Linked DNA regions of Kluyveromyces lactis. The protein of the gene in region 1 binds, or shares a complex with, the protein of each later gene. Links are inferred from orthologs where the notes say so. Each region holds a gene or a part of one and is shown on either strand. Other genes may lie near its edges.

Evidence for each region. Proteins that work in one complex are often made in the same cells at the same time.
Region 2: the proteins of STE20 (region 1) and NBP2 are in contact, whole or in part, in an NMR structure (PDB 2LCS), measured with the Saccharomyces cerevisiae proteins. The link is inferred for Kluyveromyces lactis from reciprocal best matches to the Saccharomyces cerevisiae genes STE20 and NBP2. Residues at the interface, in NP_011856.1 of Saccharomyces cerevisiae: Phe470, Ile471, Pro472, Ser473, Arg474, Pro475, Ala476, Pro477, Lys478, Pro479, Pro480, Ala483; in NP_010446.3 of Saccharomyces cerevisiae: Tyr119, Phe121, Glu124, Asn125, Asn127, Glu128, His143, Gln145, Gly146, Trp147, Val149, Thr158, Gly159, Leu160, Pro162, Glu164, Phe165.

The regions. Positions count from the first base shown.
Region 1 is NC_006038.1:1,190,264-1,194,410, reverse strand, and holds the start of STE20 (mitogen-activated protein kinase kinase kinase kinase STE20), read right to left. Parts: upstream 2,820-4,147; coding exon 1-2,819. Other genes in the region: putative ubiquitin-protein ligase UFD4, read right to left, coding at 3,581-4,147. UniProt on the Saccharomyces cerevisiae protein: MAP4K component of the MAPK pathway required for the mating pheromone response, haploid invasive growth and diploid pseudohyphal development. Links the pheromone response G-protein beta gamma subunits to downstream signaling components.
Region 2 is NC_006040.1:1,430,440-1,432,918, forward strand, and holds NBP2 (adaptor protein NBP2), read right to left. Parts: upstream 1,198-2,479; coding exon 514-1,197; downstream 1-513. Other genes in the region: ACL4 (Acl4p), read left to right, coding at 1-361; U2-type spliceosomal complex subunit CWC15, read left to right, coding at 1,638-2,201; SLS1 (Sls1p), read right to left, coding at 2,358-2,479. UniProt on the Saccharomyces cerevisiae protein: Negatively regulates the high-osmolarity glycerol (HOG) pathway through its negative regulation of the HOG1 kinase activity. Mediates the binding between the PTC1 phosphatase and the PBS2 MAP/ERK kinase (MEK).

The sequences.
Region 1 (4,147 bases):
GCGGTTCCTCTGTCCTCTGGATCAACCATTAAACACCAATTTAAGAACATAGCCATTTTATGACTTAAATTTCCAGGATCCTTTAGCTTTGGCGTACCATTGGTAGCGATCAAATATAGAGCTCTTAGTGGTGTCTCATTCAGATATGGTGGTTCACCTTCTATCATTTCAATGATCATAATACCAAGAGACCAAATATCAACCTTTGGTCCATATTCTTTTCTTGATACGACTTCTGGGGCCATCCAGTACGGAGTACCAACCATCGTCGTTCTCTTCAAATTTACCTCGTTAATCTGAGCACAAAAACCGAAATCTGTTAGTTTGATGTCTCCGTTCATGGATAGCAAAATATTGTCTGATTTAATATCTCTATGAATGACTCCCTTTGAATGCAAAAACTGTAAACCCTTGAGTGTTTCTCTAGAGACGGCACCGATTTGCCCTTCAGTCAATATACAGTGCGTAACGACATCAGTCAACGAACCACCTTCCATGTATTCCATGACAACCCATAAATCACCTCTAAATAGGTATGAATCAATGAAATTAACAATGTTGTTGTGTTTGCTTCCTTTCATGACCAGAATTTCATTCACAATTAACTCTTTCTTGGGTTGTTTCTCCAAATTCATCTGTTTTATTGCTACTGAAGCATTTGTGCCCAATTCATACGCTGTGTAAACTCCTCCTGATGCACCTTGTCCGATTTTGATCAGATTCTTGTACAGTTTGCTTGGGTCTCCTGTTGTGCAAATCTCGGTTAATTTTGATTGAATTTGTTGATTCTTTCTTTTCCTCTCTTCCCTCTTTTTTTCCTGGGCCTTTCTTGTCTGGACATTAGAAGTATTCGATTCCTCTTTCACTTCCACAGCAAGCCCGGAAGGAATTGCAGGTATTGAGGATTGTTCCGGTGTTGTAGGAATTGCAGGTTTTGGTGGAGTAGGAGCCGCTCTTGCAGGCAATAAATTTGCTGGTTTTTCTGCAGCCTTTGGAATAGGAGGTAATGGTTGCTCACTTTTCAATGTTGGCATCTTCTTGAATGAGAAAATGCTTGATGACTGAGTATCACTTCTTTGCACTTTTGGTGTTCCATGGCCAAGCGAATTGATTGGTGAAGGGATTTCGACCCTACGGCTAACTGTGGAGGAACCTTGAGGTTTTGGAGCAGGCCGAGTCGGTATGAACTTTTCGTTGTTCACAGTTTCACTGAAATCGTTAGTGAGCAGCGGACCCTGTAAGTTACTAGAGTATGGGGTATCATTGTTTTCATTCGGAAAAGTTGCATCTGTTTGCATTTGCGGAGTTTCGAACTTCTGTACTGATGCAGTTGATGGGGTTCTGAAAGAAGGTGTAGATGCAATGTTTGCACCAGAGCCACCTCCTACTTTGAAAGTCTTGAAGACTTTCTCTTCTCCAGAGTTTTCAGTAACATCTTGGTAGAATTTTACAATATCCATCACAGCCTGGGGATGTTGCTGTTGTTCTTTCATACTAATGCCACTGGAAGTTAAAAGTTTCTCCCATTCATTTGGTAACCCTGTATATTCCCCTGTTTTGGAGTCAACACCTACATGATAAACATGCTTAGCATTATAAGGAGTAGAGATCTTAAATGCATTATTTCCACTTCCATTACCGCTTCCGCTAGAAATTCTTTTCTCTGAGTGTGAGTTCCTCTTGATGTTTTGAACGAATGTTGAGAAAACACCTTTCTTCTTAGTACCGGTCTTCCTCTTAACATCATTAGAGGAGGTGGAGGAATTAGAATTCCTCTGGGAGTGGTCAGGCGTCCCATGCTGACTCTTAACGTTTTTCCTCAGAGAAGAAAACGGAGAAGAAATGGTTCTGAAGGGGGATCTTGATTCTGATACTGGTGTTTGATTTTCGAAAAAGTTATTCACCATTACGGGAGTTTTAATTGGAGGATCCTCATTTGTTGTTTCTGGATGTGGTTCTTCTTCAGGTATTACTTCATGCACACTTACGTGTTTCGAATGATCTGCAGACGCTGTCGATGCCTTGTTGAAACTATCTGTAGATGATAATATCTCATTTAGCGGGGACTCATATACATCATTGGCATCAACTTCAGTTATAGGTGTTGTAATCTTTGGAGAATTTGAGGTTTGTGTGGAATTTAGGAAGTCAGAAGAAGTTTCCAGGGCCCCGCCCATAAGAGAGAGATCAGGTGTCATCCTCCCGCCAGTAGATATTCTACCTATATTTTGGGAGGAACCTTCTATAGTTGACATCGTCTTATCTCCAACAATAGATTCAATTGTCCCTGGCGTCTCCTTCGAAGTCAAATTATTTCCTTCTTCCACTTTTCCTTCTAGATGCGATATTAAATCTGCATCACCTTCCGATATACTTTCACTTAACACAGAACTGGAAGAGACTCTTGTAAATTGTATCGGTTCATCCAAAGTTGGCTGGTTACTATTAAAAATTTCCGAAACATTTGTTGGTACGGTGCCCGGTTTCCCTGGATCCATAGATTTATAATCTGAAAGGTCTTTGACGTAATGATCTTCGTCTGATTCTTGTAATCCTTTCACATCCAAACTCGCTGGTGCACGAGGTAAATCAAAGAGATCTTTTGAGACAGATTGTTCCCTAGTCTCCGTTACTTCTGTATGATCCTCTAGAGTTTGTACTGAAAGATTTTCACGATGTACATCCTCTTGTTTTGAATCTTGATTTTGACTTTTGCGTATGCTACTGGTGTCACTTTCTGTATTGCCACCATTTTCTCTCACGGAAAGCGCATCAAATGTGCCTGGTAACAATTCTTCAGTATATCCAGTATCCGTCATTATATGGAGACAAAGTAGTGAGTGTAGTAGCTTCTATCAAAAAAAAAAGGCCTGTGTCAAAAGATGTCTTGTGGTTAATTCTATCGACCGAACAAAAAGGAAAGGTATTCCGAAAAACACAAACAGGTCTGTAATGATTTCTAGAGCATACAACCGTCAGTAACAAAGCCTGCTGTGGCCGTGTTAATTTCTGTCAGAAAAAAAGCTAGATTACTTTGTTCAAAGAATAGAAGATCAAGTCAGATAAACAATGAAAGAAATGACAAAACGTGCTCTGTAAAATTCTTTCTACCTTCACCTCCTTCTAACTTAAAAACGAGAGCCTGTTGTGTAATTCAGTGTAACGAACGTCTTTTGATTGCTAAAATCACACTCTCGCCAAAACAAACAAATAATGTGTGCTTGTTATTAAAAAGATCCAAAAGAAGATGGTATTACCTGGTATTACTCTCTGAAATACTTGTCAAATCGGCAGAGATAGCCTGATTAATAAAATTTAAAACCTAGTTCTAACACAAGCCACAGTTAAAGCAACAATTGAGCTTGCTCGTTTCTCTAATCTGCTTATAAACATGCATACCATCTGATCTTTACATTCCGTTTGTTTAAACTCTTAAGCTTTAAATTTCAGTTTCAACATTTTCGCCAATCCCAAAGAGTAAATCCTGTCACATGTCACGAAAGTATGTGGTATTGAAATCTTTAGTTAGGGTGGAGTATGGTTAGATCTACAGACATCTCTATGTAGTTATATACATATTCTATGACAATAGGAAGGCTCCGGAACCTTCAGTCATTGCTTGTGCAATACGATCTTTGAGTACCAGTTTATCAGAGTATTTTGGTAGTTTCAAGTAATTGGCGCATGTCATAACGCTAGGTAGGCAATGGTCTGCCGAGATGTTCCCATCTGGGTGCTTCAGGACTACTGTGAATTTGGGTTTTAAGTTTTTGAAACCGCCAAGAGGTAGTTTCGGAGAGCCAGTGATGAATTGTAAGAACAAACGTTTCTGTTGTGTCGAAAAATTCGACAAAATATCTATGAGGTCTGTTATGATTGGAGAATCCATCGAGTAGCCATGGTCTGCATGAATGGATGAGTATAGCGTTTGCACAGACCAATCTTCAGCAACTGCACCAAACAAATCGGATAGTTCTGTCGGAGTTAAGATTAGCAATGATGAATAAGGGAATGATTTCGAAAATCCGTTCCTGAAGGCAGCGAGCTGCATATCTACGCCTTTGCCCAAAAATTGGTCAAAGACACGAATCAAGTACTCTTCCACGTTGAAAGATTCAACTAAGATTTTCGAACCACCTTCCAACAA
Region 2 (2,479 bases), on another chromosome or scaffold:
GGAAGGGTTCACATATTATTTGATGGCTAAATTAGAACAGTTTAAACAACAAAACCAATCATTACAACTATCTCCTGAAAATATCTACGAATTCAATTCCCACGTCCAAGAATTACCTTTGGATATCAAGAATGAGTCATTGAAGGACATTATTTACGAGGCGCGTGTTTCTTTGAGCTTTGCTTCTAAGTTCAGTGAAAATGCGGAGTCCGACGATGAAATGGCCAAGGAAATAATCCAAGGAGTCCATGGCTTGTTGAATGAAATTGGTGGTGCTCTTGATATAACAGAACTAATGAAACTCAAACGTGGAGAGGAAGTTACAGAAATTGATGAAATCGAAATCAACGAGCTTGAATGATCTAAGAATGCAGGCACGGGCTTCATGTTAAACTGCTTTTGATCAATTCTTTCATTTCATCTTAACGGGACTTTTATTGTAACGTATTACTAGAAAAGTATTTAATTAATATTGCAGCTAATATATAGATATTTAGCGCAGAAAACAGAATGCTATAGATCCAATTTCTCCTTGATATCTTTCGCGAGTTCTGATACGTCGCTCTTTTCATTTAACGTACTGCCTGTTTTTCCGTTTTCAAGAACAGTTCTATTATCATGAGAAACACCATTGTTGTTCGTTATATCAACTGATACTGAATCTTGACTGGGTCGCTGTATACTTCTGTGCTCTTTATCACTATGTCCTTCAGCTTCCTCGTCATCTTCTATGTCTTCCCAATCATCATCGTGATAATTAGACATGCTCTGCGTTATCATTTGAGTAAGATAAAACGGCCTAGGATTCTCATACCTACCGTTGTCTTCGCCATCGTCTTCAATCAACTGCACATACTCTTCCGGTACCAATCCTGTCTTGGATCTATCGTGATTTTCTGCCACTAACCACCCTTGGCCATGCTTGTAACTTATATATACGACATCTCCTTCTTTCAACTCCAACTCGTTATCATTTTCTGGGACAAAAGCATACATCGCTATGGCTCTCTTATTAACGATATAATCATCTGGTAGTAACACACTTTCTCTGTTCCCACTCAATCGAAGGTTGTTCTGATCTTCATCATCTTCTTCAAAATAACCAAAATGTAACGGATTTGATTCGTCATATGCGTAATCTTTTATCGATATGTACCCAACCATATCGTCCTCTTGGTCAACCTCATATTCTGACATTATGATAGTTATGTCTTCTGATGTTATTAGTAAATCTCACCGTCTTTGATCTAAGTTCAAAGCCTCATTCAATATGTGTTCAGTTCTATATTTCTAGTGTGAACGAATGCTCCACGGGAAATGATTAAATGATAAAGTCCTATGTCCTCTTAGAAAAGTTTGGTATGAAATGTAGCTTGCTATATGTAGTTGCCAGTACGACGTTCGTAGTTCTTATTTCTTTGGTACACGGTAATTGTTAACGTAGATTCGCATTTGAAGTTTCAGATTGCTATTTTTTCATATCAAGGCTATAAAGATTGAACATCAACGCACATTCACGAGATTGTTCACAGGCAAAACAGGTGAGCTAATTTAACTGGTACCTGGGATGGTAGATAAGCTTACGTTAGTTTCAGTGGAGTGCTACAGATTGAATATAATATTGACTGTGTTCTGAAATGACTACATCGCACAGACCTCAACTAGAGGCCAGGAATGGGGCAAAGAATATAGAATACATTCCTACTTCGACGCAGCACGCTAGACTTTTACCGGGGCACAAAGAGGTTAAGTATAGAAACACGAAGAAGAGGGTGTTGAATCGTAAAGTAGAAAGTACTCCGAGTGAGGAGGCTAAGAAAAGAATCAAAATAACTGGAGCAGAGGAATGCTCGAAAGATGAAGAGATACAGGCCACGGATAGTAGCGATGAGTACGAGGAAGAGGAGGAGGAGAGTGAAGATGAAGAAGCGCTATTAGAGGAGTGGAATAAAGTTAAGCAAGAAAGATTGGACAAAAAACTGAGAGAACAGCGTGCTGAAATCACAGCAGCTCAAAATGAAGAAGTGACGAAACCGCAAAAGCATGGTGGTTGGAGATCTAACACTGTATTTGGACGTAAAGGTACAGTCAATCAATCGGCAAGTATATCTGAACATAATTCAAATGGGAAGGGAAAATATGTCAATAATATTACTCAAAGCGAATATCATAAGGAATTTATACGAAAGCATGTAAAATAGTTTATGTTAAATATTTTTCTATTATGGAGAATCAATCGACAGGTGTACGTCAAAAACTTAAATGAAGTCTATATATCTGTTCTTCCGCACTATTTACAGGATGACTTTGTATAATTATACATATATGCATTAAGGACCAAAATATTTCGAATGATTTCAGAATTGTAAAACGTCATCGATGAAATTTCTAACGATGTCCTTGTTGATGGATCCGTTAGTGCTGATAAAATCAATAGATGAAGCTTTGCCTCCTAAGCTTCCGCCTTCAATTTCAGAGA